Struthio camelus: one gene and its partner. The protein of the gene in region 1 interacts with the protein of each later gene in a biochemical or structural test. Links are inferred from orthologs where the notes say so. Each region holds a gene or a part of one and is shown in the gene's direction. Other genes may lie near its edges. The genes, in order: SNTG1 and PLEKHA1.

Region 1 (10,970 bases):
TACCATGGATCATATACTGCAGTAACTCTGATCTGGGGTCAATTTCTTCAAGAAACATCTGTACATGGTGCAGCTCCCACAGCCCAGATGGTTTCCCCCTAGGGTTTGGCATAGGTCATGCATGCAAACCACAAGCATCATGGTAGAAAAGCTACTCAGATTCCACAGGACAGTCAGACTAGGTCAGGTTCAACGTACTTTCCTTTGCACTTGTGTCCAGGATCAGCACACAGTGTTCACCCTTCCATATATACACATATCACATGTTCCTCACACTAAGAGATACCTATGTCCCCTTCTTCTGCAGTGAAGCAGCCGTTGTCTCCATTTACAGCAAGCACTGAATTCATCCTGCAGTCCTTTTACAGATGAAGAAGTTGCTGTCATATGACTGAGGAGGGGGAATCAAAGCTGCCTCTGCTATTGAAGGTTTGGAGGGATGCAGTGATGGCTCCACCCAGGAAGGCTTACCTCATTTATACATAGCCAGAAGCAGCCACAGAAGCAGCTCCTTTTTATCCCCTCTCCCTGACTTGGGGCTATGAATGAGTGTGAAAAAATATTGAACTGTCTGGAAGCATTTGCTGATTAAACAGCTGTTGCTCCCTTCAACATCCCACAGGCAAACACTTGGGCCAGGCTGAAGATGCCGGGGAGACCATGGTCTAATATCCATCTATCAGAGATTACCTATAACATCCATAATTTTTCACATAAGTCTGTTTACCTTTTTGCAGAGTGGTTCATTTTGCAACTTTTGGGCAAAATTGTGATTTTAATTCCACCCACAGAAACTGTCTCAGGTGTTCACCAACACTTCCTTTAATTCCAGGAACATAGTGCTCATTTTATAAGCTATGGTTGTAGCCACATAGAAACTCACACGCTGTCAGTTTCACTTCAAAATAGTATAATCCATTATATTATTTGCAGATGACATTCCATATTTGAATTCCACTACCACATCTTTTAACTACCACTTTAAACACCACGAAGCTAATAGAAATAAAACTGTTAAGTTAGTTGTTTTTAAAGGATACATGCATTTTATCACTTATTTGGTTTCCAAATGGAAAAACAGTTTTGAAGTTTGCAATGTGTAAAATTAATTTTTAAGTGCACAGAGGGTAATTTTATCTTCTTTTGGTGAAGAAATAGGATAATTGGAATAATACTGAGATACGTTTTTGTAGTGAGGATAATACAGAAAAATGAAATTGATAATTTTCTTAGATGTGACTAATTATAGCCTGTGAATTGTCACTTGTCCTTTCTAATTTGTGATAATTGATTATAATAAATTAATTACTAAGATAGATAACAGATAATTTCCCTAAAACTGGTTAAAATCCTTCGTTACAATGTTATCGAAATTCTCTTATAGGTTAAAAATAATCATTCATCAGATGCCTGCCAATTATAGACTGGCATAAATAATAACAGTACTGAACATGATGTAGAGACGGCCTATAAAATTTGGGATTAAGGAAAGAGTTTAAGGCTATGAACTTCACAGCTTCTTTGAGGTTTTCTGCTATTTGGTTTCAACATATGTGGGTTTAAATTCTCCAAGCTTTGGGATTATTTGAAAAGCTCAGAATTTTAAAGAAATATTCATATGGAATTGCTAATATCCTGTTTACATGTACAAAGAGGGATTTTAATGAGTTGCAGTCAGAACAAAACCCATGTCTCTGTCTGGGCCTACATGAGTTTGAGTTTTAAACGGATTCACAGGAGCTCTTGAGAAACAAATCATGGCAGCAAGGAATATTATAGAATATAGCTGCAGTTTTCTGGCCACCCACAGAACATAAAGGCTATTTTGGTCTCCACCATTCCTCCAGTCAGATTTTAAGATTACAAGCCATGGTGACAAATGACACACTATTTTATATAAGTGTGCCAGATACTGGTACATCACTTTCCATATTTTCTTGGAGTTTAGTTTAATCTAGTTGCGGGGGAACAAGAAGGAATATGTTCATAGCCTTTTCTGGACTAAACTGGGTGAATTAATACTAGTCTATGAGTAGAATTTAAAAATAATATTAACTCATCAGAAACTGGAAATTTTCTCTAAATTTCTACTGCAATATAGGGAGTACCAGGAGCTTGATGCTCATAGATGGCCTTGTGACCTACTTATTATATAGCATGTTATACCCATTCTTGAGGGAATTACAACAGCCATATCTTTTTCCGGAAGTGGATATTGAAAATATATTAATTCTATTCTGATGGAAAAAGAAAATCTCATCAATGCTGTGAGTTTCACTTCAATTTGCCTTTTGATATTCTGCTTAATGAGATCTTCTTATAGGCTGGTAATATCTTTTTATTGAGTATTTATTTTCATGTGAATAAATAAAAACTGATACTTTCTAAGAAATTTTGGGGTCTATTTAAGATACTTTGTGACTAAAACCAAAGCTGCTTCTAAATGAACAGCACCCATGCCTCAGTTTCAGTTTCAGATTTTCATGCTCAAAATGGGGGAATACCTTGCCTTCATTTACAGACTGGAATGTATTTGATACAGCTGATGGCTTCAAACTGATAAAGAGCTAAGTTCTGTCAAGGAAAGAGCATATAATGGTGGCTAGCCATGGATGTTTTAGCAGACCTGCTAGGACTTGCTACATGAATGGATGCCCCCTAACTTGCACTGGTTTTGGATAAAGGTCTCTCTTTTTTTTTTCCTGATATAATGATGCGCCTGTAACTTCTTTTTCAGGCCCTTAGTTCTTTCTTGTTCACTTCCCAGCTCTTTCACAGTGAGGAGTTACATGCCACAGATATAGACACAAACGTCTGGCTGCCAGATGTCAGAATCACTGCCCACAATCAGAGTGAAATATCCTGTAACCAGAAAGATTGGGTTCTGCTTAGGAGAAAGAGGACAAATAGCTGCTCATAGATAGATAGTCAGTACTGTTCTACAAAGGATGTCACGACTTTCTTGTTGAGTGACATCCTTCCCTCCACCCCCACATCTTTTAGCCAATACAATTTGCTCTTCATCTTTATCTTTTATTTCCTCCATTTTAACTCTCTTACTCCTCTGTCACCTCATCCCTGATGGACACCTTGAATGGTGCCAGTTGGCTAAAGCTGCACAATCTGCAGCAGAAGCTACCACTAGTTTATGTCATACCATGTAATATTTTCTAGTAAACACTGCCAGTAACTACACAAAAACCCTTCTGGGTCTCCCAATCTGACTTTAAATGTTGACTCATGTTCTTGATTACTTTCTAAACCTGTATGAAATATGAATTTTGTGTATGTAAGAATCCTATGCTGTGTTTGTGCTGCCTGAAGCAAAAATGTAATACAATACTAATCTTCTAATATTATGTAAAACTGATAGTCACACATACTTCATACAATCATGTGAAATCTGCCTGATAATGTTTTTAAAAATTGCACACTTTTCATCTGCTTTGGTAGAGTTTATCTTCAGCATATTCTTAATGCTAATAAAACTTTTAACTGAGATATGCATGTTTTAACAAGCATGGGAAGAGCTTGAAAGCTCTTGCAGCAAAAATTGCGATAACTTTCTCTTGTGAAAATAAAACTGTCTTGCTTACATAAGCAAGAGTATCACTCTACTCTTCATCTTCACATAAAAGAAAGGTAACAGGTCTCTGTTAGAGATGACAGTTCTTCCTACAGCTAGGAGGAATATGGCATGTATTGATTAATCTATATCCAGGCTTGCGAGTTTTAAGGAAAGGTGATTTCAACAGCTGAGGCTGTCACCGTTGGAACTGCATCAGAGCTATCCCAACAAGTAGTATTTGCTCCAGCCAGGGTAGTTAAGAGATTGTGAAGGATCATTCATATCCACTTTATTTAAAAACTGTGCTCTGAGGCCTTTCTCAACAAAGCAAGAGCAAGGATGGCTGCACTTCTGCTTTACTTCTGTGTTTGACTCAGACGAGTTTTCAGTTCACTAAATTTCACTCATTATTTCAATTCTGAGAGATACATGTATTAGGACTTGGATGGTAATATATATAGTTGCAATCATTTATTTTTTCAGTCTTGTCAGGAGAACTACCTGTTCAAACCATTCAATCTGCGGTAGAACCGGAATAGGACAGATAGCTTGGTTAGCTTGTAGCTATCAAGAAGTCTGTTAACATCAATCATTATTAAGAAATAGGGAAAAACAAGAATCTGTATCTCTAGATGAGGACCCAAGTACAAATCTGTTCCATTAGCCATGAAATCCATCACTGCATATTCTTATGCATTTATCAGCTGCACTCTTCAGAGCAACTCTATTATCTTTACATTTAGCTTGTATGGAGCTGTCTTTTTAAAATCTTTTCCCCCTGAATAGCTCACTGCACATTACTGAAGTTAATATTTATAAAAGGAATTCATAAGGAACAAAAAGATTTTTGTTTGCCCCAGCTTGGCAGAAGAAGACTTTTTAACCATAAAATGTAGAAAAAATAACTTTTCACTCTAAGAAGCCTAAACAACTGTATGGAGGAAAAATGCTCGAAGAGGAGCTACACAGAAGCAAAGCTAAATCTGCTTTCACTGGACGTGTAATTTTGATCACCCTCCCTGAAAATCTCTGCTTGACTAAAGAATAACATTTCCAAGAGCTAAAACGGGGCCCAGAGGATACGGATAAGGCAATCTAGCGACAACAACCAGCCTGGCCCGCTCTGGGGGCCAAACTTAGACGCAGAAGAGGGTCCCTCGGCTGCACCCGACGCTGCCACTTTAAACCGTGGGATTTATTTTTTTTTTTTTTCCCTGCTTTCGTAGCTCCACATAGCGTCGGTGGGATGAAACGAGTCAGCTCCGCGCGGCCCCGTCCCGCCGAGCAGAGCGGAGCGGAGCCCCCGCGAGCCCCCAGGCGCGGCGCCCCGGGCTCCCCCGAGGCCACCGGGGGGGGGGGGGCAGGAGGAGCTTGCTGCTCCCCAAAACCGGCGTGAGGGAAGCAGGCGGTTAAGGGACGGCTGCGTCTGCGAGGGGCCCCGCGGCGCTCTCTTTCCTCCCGTTTTAATTTTCCTCCACCCCCACAGCCTTTGCAAAGGCGGGTCGGTGGCTGGCGGCCCCCACCCCGCGGGCCCGGCTCCCCCGCACTGGCAGCGCAGACGTATACGTGCGTATAATACACCACAGGGCGCGCATATATGCCTATATATATATGATCTGCCACGTTATGCTATATCATTTCAGCACTCTCCGACGGGTGGGGTGACTGCTGTACGGTCTCAGTGAGCTCCGGCTGCGGGGCTGCTTGCCAGCTGTTGGAGATAAGCAAGTGCGAAAGCGCAGGGCTGCGGGTGCGCAGGGGATTTAGGGATGCGGGGTGGAGCAGCCCCCTTTGCCACCTGCTGCTTGCCGGGGGTGCTGCGCCGGGGTGCGCCCGGCTCCCTCCCGAGAAGCCCCAGGTCCTGGCTCCCTGTGGAGGAAGGAGCCCAGGCATCAGCCCCCTCCCTCGTCCCTGCAGTCCTGGCACAGCAGCGCTGCAGAAACCCGCATCCTCTGGATCCAGAAAGGCTTTGGCCTCTCAGTGATACTCGATGTCCAACACAGACACCAAGTGGTTTATTCTTCCCTCCCTCCCTCTTTCGCCTGTCCCTCCTCCTTTTTTGTCCCCCCCCCCCCCCCGCCCCAAACCCAGCACGGACCCTGCTTGCTGCCATGTTTTAGCCACTTTAACTTCCAACTCCTCTGTTGAAACAAAATTAGATGACCCGTTGACCGTGGCTCCAGGACAAGGGGATGCCGAGGCAGCCCGGACACGGTGTGTGTGGGGGGGAAGCCGTGCTCTCCCACTTGCTCCCCCCTGCGCCGCCCCGCAAAACCAGCTTGCAGGGAGCTGCCAACCCCGCGGGGGGCTGCGGGCCCCCAGGTGCCGCTGGCAGCTCTCCGCCCGGCGGCGGCCGGGCAGGCTGCAGGGGCGGGACGCGGCCCCGCCGCCGCCTCCGACGCCCCCTTCCCAGCTGGGGAGCGCTGGGCGCCGCCCGCCCCCGCGCGCTGCGGAGCGGGGACGCGTTCTCGCTCGTTTCTCATGTCTTCATTTGGTGAAAAATTAAGCAGGGCATCGTTCCCTTAGCAGGTGGGAGAGCGACAAAACCCAAGCGACATAGCCCAAAATTAGAGGCTGGCAGATTAGGAGGGATTACTTGACCGAGGGAAGATGGTAGCATCTAAAAAGAAAACGACTCTGCCGCTTCAAGTGAGTCTGTCAAAATAAACCGCACACATAACTGCTTCTAAATAAGGGGGTTGATATGTTATATTTTCCGTCTGGCAAGCGATCAATATATACCCACTCGCACAGTGAGGAGAAACCGCATCCAGTGAAGTTCAGCAAGAAGAGGGGCATAATAAGGCGGAGGTCAAAAAACTTTTCTGCCTGGGCAAGGCAGAATTTCTCCTCACTGAGAACTCACAGGGGGGCAGAGGGATAAGCCGTGACCGGGGGGGGACTGCGTTTCGGCAGCGCGGGGGCCGGCGGAGGGAGCGGGGTGGGGGGAGGGAGGAGGACCGCACTTTCCCCGCGGTGCCCCGCGCAGCCGCCCCCTGTGCTGCCTCTACTTGCGGCGCGGCGCGGAGCGTAGCGGCCCGCTCTGCCGCCGGCAGGGCCGCGGCTCGCCGGCTTTGCTGGGGGCGGCCCCGGGGCGGTGTTTCGGAGCGCCGGGGGTGGGGTGGGGTTGGGGGGGGGTCCCGAGGGCGGGCATCGCCGCGCCGGGCTGCGGCCGCGCTGGCGGCGCCTCTTCGCCTCGCCGCGCCGCGCCTGGGCGCTCTCGGCCGCGGAGGGGCGGCGCTGCCTAGCCGCGCTCCCCCGCCCGGTGCCCCCGCGCCGTCTCCGCCAAGGGCGCGGGGAGCCCCCTCGCTGCCGCCGGCGCGGCGGCGGCCGGGTGAGATGCGGCGCTAGCGGCCGCGAGGCGACGCCGCGGGCATCCGAGCGCGACTGGCCGGGGGCTGCGGCGGAGACCATGGGCGGCCGGGTCGGGGGCGCGCCGGCCGGGCTCCCTGCGCGCTCCGGCTGAGCCCGGAGATGCCCCGGCCTTTTGGGAAATATTTTGGAAATCGCTCGGAGAGGTCCGAGGAGGGCGAGCGGCTCTGCGTTTCGCCAGCCGAGAGGAGGTCGCCCGGCGGGAGCACACAGGCAAGTGAGTGTCGTTTTTTGTTGTCCTTGCGCTGCATGAACGTCATCTCCAGTGACTTTTTTGCAGCTTTGGGTTTCTTACTCGCGGTTTTGGAGGCAGCGGCCCCAGCTGCAGTTTTGGCTCTCCGGCGTGTCGGTGCGGGAGGTTTGTGGTCGAGGTCGCAGCGGCGCCCGGTCCAACTCCGGCGAAGTACGACGAGGGCAGCCGTACGGTGCAGGACTTGGCGTGCACAAGCGGTAAAGCGCAGCGCTGTAGTAATCCTGTGCTGCCCACTTCTGCACCTGTAAGAAATGATGCATTATATGTGCTAATATAAAATGTCTTCTGCTTTGTGCTAGGCTATAACTTAATTGCAGGAGTCCCTTTATTGCTTTCCAGCAGTGGCTCTTGGAGGAGAGAGGCAGGGTATGTGTGTAAGCATATTTCATACCCATCTATGGGTTAAAATAGTGAACCTAGAGAGTTTTGATTTTTATGCCTTTACTTTCTTGTGTCCTGCCTGGTGATTTTCTTTTTCTCTGAGATGCTGTTGCTGTGAGGATGTGGTTTCTCCAGCTTTGTTTGTTTGCTTTAGCACATGGATTTTTATTGCTCTACTTGTTATTGCTGTGAAACAAAAAGTTGATTTCAGTATATCTCAGCACGTAGAGCAGACACGGGACTAATTCTGCTCTTGGAGGAACTCCGCTTTGAAGGAGCAGACCCATAGGGCTGTAATCTCTTGCTAAAAACTCAAAGATCTCTAAACAGGGTAGTCACGCTGAAAAGAATGAATTCTCCTGGTCACCTTTCAGCACGCATAGTGTATGAGCTAACCAACCTGCCTGCTCCTCTCTATGAAACATCTGTCTCTGAAAGGTAGGGGATAAAGAGGATTCATAAAGTGAATTCTGGACAGGTTTGGGAGAAGACAAAACTTCAGACTGTGTTTAATTAAGTTTTCTCTTATTGATTTCCTTGGTGTCTTCTCTATGAGTCTAAAAATGACAATCTTTTACAGTAACCTTGATGTACATCCTGGTCTAACATGAAAGCATCACAGAATAAAAGGAGTTACACAGATTTATAGCTGAGCTCTAGCATTTCACTAAGAACTCAGTTCCAGTGAACATCCTAGTTTCAGCAGAGACACTGGGCATTATGAGTGAGTGGACTTGCGGAAATAACTCTGTGATAGTGATAAAAGTATAAGGTGCAATGTTGGAAGCATATGCTCCTGCAGAAATATCAAGGTGTGTGAAATGTTTGTTGAGTTTTGGATATTTTCTTCTCTAATCGAAGAGAACTCTGGCAAAAAGTGTGTGTGGGGGGGGTAGTGGGGGGTGCTCAGAGCTTCCCAGGTTAATGCACTTTGATTTGCCTGCACTTGTTGGCTGGGAAGCTGTAAGGAAGGGATCTTCTTATGGACTGAAACACACACTTTACATGAATGCGGAGTTAACATAATAGGATTAAAAGGCATTGAGTTGGCAGTACTGAACGTGTAACTTGAACGAGTTACGCTTGAAGGTGCAACTAACTCAAGTTTATAGCAAAAAGTAAGCCTTTCCCATAATAGTGGATGAAGTTCACTGTGGGTAAGCAGTCTGAGAGGAATGTCACTTTGTTTCAGTGCAGTTTCAGGAGAGCTTTGTTGTGGTTCATATTCCTGACTGTGAAGATACTGTGAAAAGCAATTAAAATAACTGTTGCTAGACACTGGGGCACAAACCTGTCCATTATTTAAAGCATTCAGCTTCTTTTTGCGGCTTATCAAAAAAATCTGTATCTTTTATCAAAGTGTAGCTATGGACTTATTGTAGTAATTCCTTTCTCTGTTGCAGAGTGGCAGGCTTTCACTAAGTGTGTGCAAGAGAGATCATAAAACACTGACGCATGCACTGAGCTGGAATTCATTGGGGCTATACATTACATTGATGGTTTACAAAATTAACATAAGTAACTGCTTATACCTGATTATACAGATAAGTGGTTTTTGAAAATTATATCAGCTTTGCCGGTTCTGATGCAAGTTACAGAGCCCTTTTCTTCCTTTTCTTCTTAGTCCTTCAAACTAATCTAATGCTATACTCTGTCTTTGCCTGGAGAAGAAGAAAACATAATTTAATGATGCATCATTTGGCTTTTGCAGTATCTTGTCCCATAGCTATGAGATAATCCAATGAAGGTCCTTGTCACTGAATTAAAGAACATGCTGCTCTAGCCTTTCACCTATAGCCAGTTTTTCATTCTGCTTTATGGCCAAAGAACTGAGTTTTCACTGAGTCTGGTAGAAGAAAGAAACATTTCTTTTTCTGTTGAAAATTTGAAAAGAAAGGGGAAAGAAATACCTGAGTTCTTTAAGGAAAGAACTTGCTTACTGTAAGGCTATTCTAGTATTTTCTTTCATGTTCTGTATCCTAGTTTACTTGTATCTTTTGTATCGGAGATTGCCAAAATACACTATATTCAACTTTATGGCATGTATTTTTATTTTTATACTATGCAAATTAATAGAGAAGATGTTGATTTGATTTAGAAAGTCCAGGGCAAGCTTACAGATTGCATTCCTTTGCTAATTTTGTTATATCTGCTCAGGCATGCTGTTTGGCTTGCCAGATATAACCTTCATGAATTGACAAAATATGTCAAGCTGTCCAGTCAGTACAACAGAGTTGTCTGAGTCACTATTCATTCATCTTCAATCAAATATTAAAAAAGTAGTCTGTTCTTGACTCTTCTTCACTCTGAAGTGCTTGAATAAGTACCATTTCTTCATGCTCGTAATTTAGTACTGGTCTTTGTGGCTGAGCTACTGGGAAAACTGTGATACTGTCAAAGGCTAGTCATCACCACCTTTGCTTGCATACATTGTTTAAAAAGGTAAGAAGTGGTAGCAAGTAAGAAGTGTCAAATGGATTTAATGTATAGTCTTTCTTATCCCTTCTCATGGCTGTACTTTCAGTTCAGGTTACCAGAGAGAGGATTAGATAGGCTGAATCCCAGTTTGTCTGCTGCATCAACGCATACGTCTGACAGTCTGAGGTGACATCATCTCAGCATGGTTACACACCTGACTTTCTGTATTTGCCCTGAGTTTTACCTTCCGTAACTGGAAGAGTCAGAAAGCCTTACTGTCATTGTGGCCAGCCTAAATTTTCTGCCTTTCTATTCCAGGTCAGATGAAGGAGAGAAAGCACATGTATTGGGGGATGGGGGGGAGAGTATAGATCATATCTCAAAGATACAACTGGAACCAACAGGAGCAAATGTAATGGAGGCACTGTCAGTGAAATTTGCATGAATATTTAATTTTCAAAGGGAGGAATAATCCATCTAGAGGGAAGGATTTAGTGAGTGATGCGTCTACTCTTTATGAAGAAGAGGAGCTATGTAATACAGAAACAAAACTTTCTATGTTTTTATACTCTGCACTTCAGATGTACCTGTCACTCATTTGGCACTCTGAACTTTTGTCTTCAATAATTAGCTTGAGTTGGCAAAAAGTGGTGGAGCGCTCACTTGCATGATGAGAGTCTCGAAGTACAGGAGCCAGAGGCTGGGTTGTTTCTTGAGGACTTGATCCCATTGATTTATTAAAGTAATCGATAGAGAATGATAATAATAATTAAGAAAAAAATAAGTGTTTGGGATAAGTTTAGTTTCATGACATGTTCTCCAGTTAACATTTGGTAGCATTGGACAAGAAAGTTCTTTACTTTAATAATATCATGAGAGTAATAGTTGATACGAGTTACATAAGTGTAATTGTTCTAAAAGATGACGTTTTGCATATAAGACCAAAACGTGGTTAAATGATATTGTTGGATAAGGTTT
Region 2 (11,342 bases), on another chromosome or scaffold:
TGGATAGACAGGGTGGTGTCTTTCAGCCTCAGTCTCTGTGAACTGATTACTGCTTCTTTCATTTTCTTCCTTAGGGAGCCATGGAGGTAAGAAGCTTGTCTGCATCTCCCTCAAGGTGTTCGTAACACATACGGTTTTGCTGTAAGGCAGTGATTATAGTAAAACCTCATTCTTCAGAGCTTTAGCTGATCGCCTGAAGGGATCAAGAGGGAATTTTTTCTACACTGCCCGTTAGCTAGTGATAGACTTGGGGATTATTTTTCGTTATCTTCTCAAGCTTCAGAAACTGTCCATAGCTGGAGATGAGTGACAGTGTATGCTGAGGTGGAAAAGAAAATCTTGTTTCTTAGATAGTATCTTGCTCACATGTTTGAGGTCACAGCGATTAACAAATCTGAGATACAAAGGGTGGTTTTTCCCAAGGTCATTTTGACAGGAACTTTGGGGAACTTTTGTCTATTTCTACATAACGGAGAATAATTTATTTGCTGTAATAATTAGATATTTATTACTTAATCAATGCCATACCACTGCAGAAGACTCAGACATTGGTCCTTTATGATAAAACCTAATGACTGAGAAGCTTTCCTTGCATGCTGATACTGAGGTGGTTAGGTGAAAGGTGATAGGCTGTGACACACAGGAGGGCTCAGCAGAGTAACAACCTCAGCTGATCATAACCTCTAGGAAAAGTAGTTCCATTGATTTCAATAACACTGCTCTTAAAATAGTGCACAGGAGGCCTACTGAATGTGGATGGAATTTGCAATATTGAACCCATAAAAAAAGAATATAGTGAGAGCATTTTGCTGTATACTTAGTAATTCACTGGCCAGGCTTTTTCCTGTTTTCCACTGTAACATAACTGTTAGTTTTAACAAAAACGTTTTGTCTAAGGCAGAATAATTCCTTCATAGCAATGAAGTGAGGTTTTGTTCATAGTTCTTTATTTCTGTGTATGCATAAAGTTGCTGAACTTCCGCTGCTGGAAAAAATTTTCCATCCTGAAAATACAATTAGAAAAGTTAAGAATCATGATATTTTGGCATTGCTGAACGTTTCTGTTTCATTGCCAGGATATGTGATGCATATATATATGTAAAAAAAAAAATGTATATTTGTGTATATGTGTAAATATGTCGCTTCTTTTGGTATTAATAACTGTATGTTCTACTAGAAGTTTTCATACCTTCTGAAATAAACACTTCACTAGTACATTGCGTTACAGTTAAACATATGGATAACAGTGTGGGATATGTGTCAATTAAGTATGAGAAAAATATAGGAAATTATATTAATATAAAATACCCTTATTTTTTTAAATACAGAAGCACTGTATAGATCAGTGGGCACATTAAACCATTATGTTATTGTTCTGACTGCAGGCTGATTCAAAGGGAGTGGCAGAATTTGTGGCAGCTCTTCAGGGGTCATGACTTGGGTTGGGACTCACTCAGGTGAATATGGGGGTTTAACGGCTTTGCATGGTACAAGCAGCCTGGAGCATTCACTCATACCGTCTGACTGATCGCACTTGTAAGTCATGAACAACATGACTTGAACTAAATGGAATGGCACTGCTGTAAAAAGACTGTAACATCAGAATGAGATCTTCCAGCAAACTTCCCTTGAAAGCTGTAATTTCTTTACTCTTGTCAAAAATAGCCTTGTGTAAAAGAGGAAAGTAATATTTAGATCAGTCCTGCTACTTTGATTTTTAGGAGAATGACATATGTCTGGACTTCAATAAATCTTCCTCACCCAAGGATAGTGTTTGAATCTATTTACTAAGCAGCAGAGCTTTAATCATAAAGCTCTTGGTTTAAGGCTCTGTATTCTCCTTAGCCCAAAGAGTGGAAGTGACAGAGATAACACAACGTTCTTTACCTAGAATAAATGTCCACCAGCCAGACGTATTGACGTAATAATGGTGGAGTGACTCAAGGAAACATAATGGTTTGAAAGAATGGAACGGGCAGACCTTTACCTGCTACTGCATAGCAAGTCTCCTTCCAAGCGAAACAAAATCCTGTTCTAAGCAAAGATGACAGTTAAAACTGGGGTTTTAGAGAATAACATAACCCTGAAAAATAGGAAAGGACCCCTAAAATCTACAGATGGAATAAAGAAACTTCAGAGGAGGAAAAACTGTGAGCTTAGAAAACAAAAGTACATATGGTTCTATATCTGTCAATCCATGTGCTTCTTCTTACAGGTGCATAATAACGCAGGCCACTAAACAAATGTTATTTATTATAGGCTTCATTTTGAGTAACTGGAAACCCGCTTTCCATTTCAGTGACAAGAATCACAAACAACTTCTGAGTAAAAGATCAGTACAAAAGGAGTCTGTCAATATTTTTTCACAAGCATTAAGACCGCTGTTAGAGTACCTGCCAGCTTTTGAAGACTATGAATAGAGACAGCTGGAGAGGAAATAAGTGCCTGTCTTACAATTCTACTGGAATATACCGGGCTCTGAGCCAATTTCTAAATTGAAGTCAATAGCATTGCATGTGGCATAAGCCAGCGCAGACTTTACTCTTGAAAATTTCTAGAAGTTTCAGGGTAGGTAAAAATATAGATCCTATTCTTCCTAATCTTTGCACATAAACTTGATGTTGCAATAACTGGAAAATATCCACCTGTGATAGAATCACTTCATATCTGAAGTTTACCTGTTTACTTTGATGCTACAGTTTCTTTTTTCCATTAAATTTGCATACTTCATAGAAAAGAATCATCAAAATATTGAATGGCCTCTAGGTCTATGAGCTCAGCTGAGCTCTCAGTAATTTGTATACCAGTAGTGTACTGTACAATACCGTAACACTGACACAATCAGAAACTTCCTACTGAAAGGAAGTCTTGCTTTAAATAGAGGATTAGAGATGACTATATTTAGGTTTCTGTACACATGGTGTGGTCTTTGACATCAAAGACTGATACTTAAATGGTTTAGTTTGGAGATACACCCTGTTGTGACCACCTGCACAATGCGTGTAACTCATGGGGAAAAGAATCTTTGCCTTCATTCTTCTTGATCTCTTCTGATCCTTTATAATCACAATGTGAAAACAGCGGGTAAAGTTAAAAGGACTTATTAAAAACTGTGAGCTTGGGCTCAGTCCCGTTGCAGTTCAAACAGGTATGTTAGAGCCTCTGCACTTCAGGGATCAGGTGCTGCATGAGTACTTCTTCTCATGGCCAAAATTCCACACAAGAATCATCAGATATAACTTTTTCATCTAGTCCTTCAGGGCATCAGGTGGCTTCTAGTACTTTGAATCTGGGTACAAGCAGAATGAACCAGGTAATTATTTTCAAAAGTGTTCACTACACTACATTACGCTCACACCCAGATGAAGTCACTGCGAGTTGCTGGTGATCCCCACCATGGCAAAATACCGTAATCTCCACCAAAAGTCTAGCCAAAAGAAAAGATCTTCCAATTTAGGGAAGCTTTAAAGGTAGGCTTTGTTATCTCGGGGAGCCATCGTCAGTACCTTGAAGAACTATGGCAGAGGTTCCCCACTAGCAAAGTAAGCCTGACCCACGTAGTATGTTATAGATGGGGTGAAGCCACTCTGCTGGACCTGCACTAGCCCTGAGCAGGATCAGTCTGGTGTATCTGCACAACACTCTCAGAAGCTGAGAAGGACATGTCATCAGCCTGGTAGTATGTAGGGAGGAAGAAATAAACAGCAGTCCCAATGCAATGGGGAGAGAAAAAAATAAACTCAGTGATTATGTCAACAGGAAAATGATTACTCAAGGAGGTCTGAGTTATTACTGTAATAGTTCATGTTTATTTTACAGTAGGTATAGAGACTCCCAGTAGGTACTTTGCACTTGTACCCATTGGATTAAATGTTCACAAACAAGAAAATGCTGAGCAAGGTATGAGCTTGTTTTAAATCAGCACAATGATACTGACTTCAAGGATCTGACGCACAGTCGCTGACTTGAAGGCTTTTTATTATTGACCGGATGTTACCAAATTTATGGTAAGCATAGAGATCAATATACACACATTCTAAACACAGCTCCAAAGTGATGCATTTCAGGAAAGCAGTTAGCCATTGCTATAAAAATATTTCCTTGAATGTTACAGGGATGAAATACAAAAAGGTTTAGAGTCAATTTTAAAAGCATTCAAAAGTCTACATGTCTGGGGAGAGGATATGTGCAAACAGAATTACATGCTCAGTACACAGGGATGGGTGTAGGTGACATTTGGCTTTTCCATCTCACACTCGTCCACAGATGAGCTCTTTATCTCTTGATTCCACAAAGCAGAATGTCCATATGCATATTCTGGTACTTTTGTGGACAGTGCACCTGATATAAGGCATTTGGCTATTTTTTAAAAGTTTGTATCTCAGTTTAAGCAAAGACATGTCTTTATATATATGATTTTCTCCTAACTAGACTGTAAACACCAGAAGAGATAGGGCTTCTGAAAAGGAAGACTGTAATAGTCTTCCATCATGCAACATATGCTATCCTAAATATGAAGTTTCCTACTAGAGTCTAATACTATATATCCCCCTTTTAAATGTAATATTTCCCCCCCCTTTCCTAAATCACATTATCACAATATATTCTGATATTGAAAACTTCCTTGGGAGGTTGGAGAAAGTACTTGAAAGTTAAGACATTCCAAACTGTAGAATGCTATGCCGTTTTCATTCTGCACATGTTATGAAATGGCTTTTGATCGCACGGCCTCCTATCATTTTTTGCAAAAGGCCCTTTCCGTGCACAGTGCAACGGCAGGCCACATCCTGTAGTCCTTTTATGAATTACCACAATCATGATAGTTCTGTGAGTACCAGAAATGTCAAATCAGGTCCTAAGCGGAGGAGGGACAGCATCAGGCCGGCTACTGTCTATTGTCTTATATTAACTCCAGTAAAGCACTGTTATCTTCAAAAAAATCTTCAAAAATGTATGAATAATTGTGAATGGAGTACAGACTGAAAAGCTTCTAGCTCACACAGCTGCAGAGTGTGTGACCTATGAAGGATGTGATAGGAAAAAGTTACGATGGAAATCGTAAAGCATTGTTCATAGCTGACTCCAACTTTGATTGTTGTACTCTCATTACAGCTTGTGTTTCATTGTAAAGTACCGTTATTAAATAGCACCTTGGAACAAAGATGTATTTACATGCAACATCTAAGTTCAAATAAATTCTATTTTAGAGATATCACTGCTTTAAGCTAGGAAGAAGATTTTCTCTATTACTATTTTGAAAAACACTAAATATTTTAGTATAAATTTACTATTCGTTTTTAATAGTGAACTACGTATGTTCAGAAATGGTTAAATACCATTCCTAGACATTTTTGTAGGCCACTATGAGCACGATGGCTGCAGAAAGCTGTCTTAACTAATAAGTCTTCTGGAAGAAGACAGGTATAGAGGAACAGAGTCTCCATACTTCCAAGGTGTTCATTCCTTTTCTTCAGATCTCTCTCCATTAAATTTAATATAAAAATCAAATTAACTTCATGTTCAAACAAATCCATAGAAAATTGTTATAAGCCTTATAAAAAGTATTTGTGTTATTGTTGGTAGCTGCTACTTTACCCCGTGTATGGCTTATACATTAATTTGAAAACAGCCTTTTAGCTGCATGAACTCTTGGACTCTTAGAGAGTCTGGTCCAAAGCAGATGGAGGTCAGTACACCATTGCACCTGATGCTGAAGCCTTGCATTTTCCTTGCCTGGATTCCCCCCTCACAAAATGCTGTCAATATTATTTATAGCATTTCTAACCACAGGAGCCAGTGACTGCTGATTTCTATCCTGTGAAAGGAATGTCTCTCTTGTGAGAGACATCAATGCGTATTGCTGGCCACAAAACTAAACACATATAGTGTATCACCTCCCTGTTGCTCCATAATTGTTTTAAACAGGTGCTTCACCTCTTTGTTTAGAGGATGGAGGATTTATTCACTGCCGTTTAGAAGACTAAAAAAAAGGTATTTACAGTACTAAGTAGCGTAACTACTGGTTGCTGCTAACTATGCTCTGAAAGAGCTCGTAGTAAGGTCTCCATATGAATTAAGCTCACGAGCATGAAAAAAAAAAAAAAACAGGAAACTAAATCTCTTACTGCTCTGCTACGTTACCGACAGTTCCTTCTGCAGAGGGGTCTGACCTAGCTGAGCCTTCTAGGTGCTAGGGCTACCTAAACGTTACCATTAAATCACAGGAGAGAAGCCAGCCGTTTATCAGTATCGCAAACTCTTAACGATTTTGTAGTAGGTGTGACTGCCTTACGTTATTCTCCTACAGGCCCTGCGCTCAGGATGAATAGTTATCCAACCCCTGCGGCAGAAGGAGCCACCGCGCGCACTCATTTCAGTCGCGTGCGCTTTGGGAGTTTGGTTTTCGGACTCGGGCAGCGCCGAAGCCGTTAGCCCGCTCCCCGTCGTGACCCCAGCGCTGGCCGAGGCCCCGGCGCCCGGACGGCCATCTGACTCCAGTGACACCCACGCCGGCTCTACTCGTCCCAGCAGGGACAAGTTTGTTTACTGACGTGTTTAATGACAAAGTCACCACCAGCATTTTAATGGTACTAGACCTAAGCGGATATAAACTATTGGCCTCTTTTCGGAGCGCTAGGTCTAGGGAACGAGTCGATGTTGAAAATGACGCCGGAGGCAGGTCGCGCTAGCGTTGGTGGCAGCACTCAAAAGCCGAGCGCACCAGCTCCGGCGGGCGGGTTACCGCACCCGACCCAGGGGCCAAGCGGCCCTCCTGGAGGTGCCACGAAGCACCAGCCGTCCCGCGGGGGACTGTCGCTGCCTCAGTGCTGCTGCACCGCCACAAAGGCACTTCGTCTGCTCCCCCGCCCCGGGCCTCCCGCGCCGCCAGGCCCCGCCGCCCGCCTCCCCGGGACTACAACTCCCGCCATGCTTTGCTCCGCGGGGCCGCGCCTAGCGGCCGCCGCACTACACCTCCCAGGAGGCCCTGCGGCGGGGCGGTACGGCGGCCGCATGGTGCCGCCCAGGAGGCGGGGTTGTGGCGCATGCGCGCGGCGGGGCGGGGGCCTGGGCGGTGTGGTGGCGGCGGCGGCGGCGGCGGCGGCGGCGGCAGGGGCAGGCGGCAAAGTTTCTTCAGAGGGGGCCGAGGCCGCTTTCCCGCCCGCTCGCTGCGTCGTGTCGCGCCGTGTCGCGTCGCGTCGTGTCGCGCCGTGGGCCGGGAGCGCGGCGGGAGGCGGCGGCGGTGCCCGCGCGGCCCGGCTCTCCTCACGGGGGCTCCCCGGACCTGCCCTGGACTCCAGTAAGTGCCTCGGCCCCGGCCGGGGGCGACGGGACAGACCCGCCCGGTCTGGTCCGGTCCGGTCCGGTCCGATCCGGCCCGGCGGAGGAAATACCTCATTTATTTTCTTTTTTCCTCTCTTCCTCGATGTTTGACCAAGTCGGGCACTGTCCTTTCCCTCCAACGCCTCTGCCTTTGTGTGGCTCCCCGCGTCATAATTGTTTCATGCCTTTTCTGTCCCTTCTTCCTTTGTTTTTTGGGTTTTCTTTAATTTTTTTTTTTTATTTTCCCTCCCTCCTTTTTCTCTCGAAATAACTGCCTGAGCGTGGGGGACTCTCCAAGGCGGAGGGGGGAGGGGGAAAGCGTACAGGAGGTTGCGGTATAATTTCCCCGGCTCTGTCACATCCCCAGAGGTAAGAGGATGATCTCATTACCCATCTTTATTTCTTTATTTATTTATTTACTTTCCTCCTCTTCTTCTCAACTTCGGTCTTTTGAGCATGACAGGAAGGAGCGATCTTTATCTGGGCAGCGCCGGTGGTGGTGGTGGTGGTGCCGGGGGCGGGGCGGGGGGCACGGGACAGCTCGCACCTCCTTGGCTTTTTAGGTGTAGAGGACACTAGTTGGGAGGAGAGCGTGCTCGAGGAAGCTGTTCTCTGATGCCTTTGCAATACAAACCTGCACTTCTTGAGTTGGTGTTCCTGCTTGGTTGTCGCCTGGGCTGCTTAGTTAATGAAGCAATGTGTCTTTAAATGGATAACTTGGCCATAAGCGGCTGTTAAGCTGTAGCTAATTTCGTCATATTTACAGTTTTCAGCACGTGTGAAATTCCAAACATGCATTTGATTATTAGCTGATCAGATAGACTTAAATATCATATGTGTTTTGCGGTTCCCACAGGTGTAATTAATGCATAGCCTTTATAAAAGGCATATTTTTGCAGGGAACGTTTGCCTGTTAACATTAAGAGGACATCATTTTCTCTTTGGGAAACAGGCTGCTATTTTTGAGGCCTCTGTTTCTTAAATTTATGCCTAATTTTCACTAATCACCACACTAGTGAAACCAATAGAACAGAACAGTTTATCTCCAAGTGGGTAAAAAGTTTAGTTATTAATTTGTTAGGTCGATCCTTATGGAGATAAGGCCATTGCTTATCTGAGAGTAAAGTTGAGAGAGTAATTTTCTTAGCTGCTTAAGATCCGGATTTCTTCATGGTTCACCTTCCTACAAAAGCAGGGTACTTTGAAAGAGATTATGAGGTTCTTCTGCATATAGTAATCTGTGCTGCATCTGCTTTTTTATTGCCTACAAATTGCGTATGTTGTAGTGGAAGATGGAGCCATATTTGATCACACAGTTTGGGCCTATGAGATTTCAGAAATAACTTTGCATTTTTGAATCGTTGAATCTAGCAGGGTGGTGGTGGTTGTTGTTGTTTTTTCTTTATCCACTTCCTTTTTATACACTTAAGCTGTGTTCACTATGAAGCAGCACAAACGCGGTCTTTACTGAGTGGGAGCTGTGCCTGGCAACTTCAGCTGGTTGCTGTATGATCGTTTAATTTTTCTGCCTGTTTTAATAAACTTACTATACTGTACTTCTAAGGCAGATCTTTTCTTTTTCTTTTGTACCTGAGTTTTGAAAGTTATTATGGAAATAACGAAGTCTTATGTCAGTTTATGTCAAAACTGAGGTGCAGGTACAACTTTTAAATGAATTCCATAGTCCTTGAGAATGTCTTAGTATATATGCCATTAGGTATAGGAAGAATTCTTTCTTTAGGTTGTGTCACTTGTTCTCATGAAGCTCCATGCTGGATAAATTCACAGGGTACCCACTGCAATCTAGTTAAGTCTTAACACTGGGTTTTGAAGAGTGGATTTGCCTTTTAAGTCCCTGCAGTTCATAGCTTTTTCACTAAGTCTCGTTTCCTACTTCTAGATCTGTTTTTTTCCTTGTCAGTAGATTCACACAAGTAACGGCATGTGAAGTTCTGTCAAGTCTATAAAGTAGAGAAATGTAAAAGTCCTTTCTTGCTTGTCACACCAGTGAGTGTTGAAAGGTTAACACTTTAGCTGGGTTAAAAGTGGACTAAAATCTGTCTTTATAAGTGCCTCTCTTAACCTGATTGATATTTGGAGAAGAGCCTTATAATTCAGGGATAAATAAGCGTTGTTGTTGCAGAAAGTGATAATTCAATAGACGGTACTATTCTGTGTGTTACATAATTAGGTTAATACCCTAATTATGAGCATGATCTCAGTGAGTGCTGGCCTGCTGGAGACAGCTTGGCATAAAACGTAGAAAAACTTTTTATGAGTCCCTTGTGTTCTGCTTGCAGTTATTAAAGATTGCTAGTTTACTTTGTTAGCATAGAAATGTTAATTCCTAATTGAAACGGCTTAAAAATATTCTTCATCTTTACAATTTAATATGTTATATACCGTGGTTAATATTCACACACCTATAGGTGTGCATTTCAAAAGTGGAAGTTAAGAAAATGATATGCAGTAGGTGGCTTACGAGGTATATTGCAGTGTTTAGATGTTTCAGAAGAGTAGATGCTTTTGTATAAATTAAAGCATGGGAAAAAAAGTCTGTAGATGGCTGGGTTTTTTTGTTTAGAGTTTTTTCTTTCAAAAAAATAGTAATTGGGGAAAGAATCAATGTATAAAGAAAATCGGAAGCATCTTAATGCTTCTTCCTCTTCCTCCTCTTCTCTCCCTGTATTTGTTCTTTCTCAGCAGTAGGAACTGAGAGAGACTAGACAGAGACCAACCTGGAAATAGGGAAAGAGTGTATATTAGGAAATTACTTGAATGCAAGAAAAAGCTTTGTGTTTTTTCTCAGTGGTTGTGGCTTATTTCAAAAAGCAAGGAGGTTAATCAGCAGGAGTAATAAAGGCTGACTATATGTCACAATGTTAGCGTGAAAGAAAGGAAGTGCAAAAGTCAGTTTCTAATTTGTGACAGTCAATAAAAATAACTTTAGGACATTACTGAAATGTGAACAGATAATGCACTTACAATACAGTCTCCAGTGGAGGGTTGAGCATAGCCCAAACTGCCAGGCCTGTGAAATTCTTCATCTATTTTAGTAGTTTTAGAATTCCATCAGTATCTTTACTACTGAGTGTTCTTGGTTATTAGACCTGACAGCTATCATAGTAAATGTAGTTCCTTCAAATTGCAGCAAACCAGAAGTGTTGGAGCGAGTACATCTTAAAACTGAGAAGTTTCCTTGCACGTGGAGGTGTGCACTTTCCCATAGGCAGCTATATGTCAGCGTTTGACTTAACAATAGCTTGTGAAGCAAGAGAATGTGTCTTTTTTTTGTGAAATGTTTTCTTCTTGATAATTAAGAACAACAGAAAATGTTCTTAGAAAATATTCCCTGGTGCTTGGAGCCAAATTAGTATTTGTGCAGTTGTATAATTGCTGAAACTAGAGGATAATAACTTATGGATCTTTACTGCCAGAATATGGGAATTTAGGTAACTGACTTTAGCATTAAAATGTAATTTACAAAGTGGAGGAAATAGATGTCACTAGGAAACAAATTATGCAATAGGTACAATGGTCAGTTCTCTCTCTCTCTCTCTCTCTCTCTCGGTTTATGTCTAGCTGTAGCATGACATGTCTGGAAATGTTGCTCTCAGTGCTTTATAAAATTACATTAGGAACATGAATATCAATTCTGGTGAGTTTACCAGATATGTAGAAATAAATGTAGTTTATTTTTAAGAAACTGTCTACTGGAGAGATCAGAGAAACAAGTGTCAGTTGTTCAAGTTTTGAAGGTATGCCTTCATGGGTAAATTGACTGAAATAAAGTGGAATGAGAGATATGGGTGAGCTATTTCAAAGAATTTTCTACTCCCATACTGATGTCCAAAATCCAGATTTTTAAAATCTGGATTTTTTTTTTTTTTTTTAAGTCTAAGGTCTTCCCGTTATATGCTGTAGCATTACTTTGTGAAACGCTTGGATATGTATTTGTATACCACTCAGTTTTATAAATAACACCTTCCTGTTAGTGCTAGGTAAAGCAACAGGATTTTGTT

What was found.
Region 2: the proteins of SNTG1 (region 1) and PLEKHA1 form a complex in vitro, tested with the Homo sapiens proteins (2 studies listed by BioGRID and IntAct, with this or other methods). The link is inferred for Struthio camelus from reciprocal best matches to the Homo sapiens genes SNTG1 and PLEKHA1.

What each region holds. Positions count from the first base shown.
Region 1 is NC_090943.1:139,606,861-139,617,830, reverse strand, and holds the start of SNTG1 (gamma-1-syntrophin), read left to right. Parts: upstream 1-6,091; 5' UTR 6,092-6,217; intron 6,218-6,923; exon of another isoform or gene 6,924-7,157; intron 7,158-7,205; exon of another isoform or gene 7,206-7,437; intron 7,438-10,970. UniProt on the Homo sapiens protein: Adapter protein that binds to and probably organizes the subcellular localization of a variety of proteins. May link various receptors to the actin cytoskeleton and the dystrophin glycoprotein complex.
Region 2 is NC_090948.1:5,750,698-5,762,039, reverse strand, and holds the start of PLEKHA1 (pleckstrin homology domain-containing family A member 1), read left to right. Parts: upstream 1-7,030; 5' UTR 7,031-7,297; exon of another isoform or gene 7,298-7,689; intron 7,690-11,342. UniProt on the Homo sapiens protein: Binds specifically to phosphatidylinositol 3,4-diphosphate (PtdIns3,4P2), but not to other phosphoinositides. May recruit other proteins to the plasma membrane.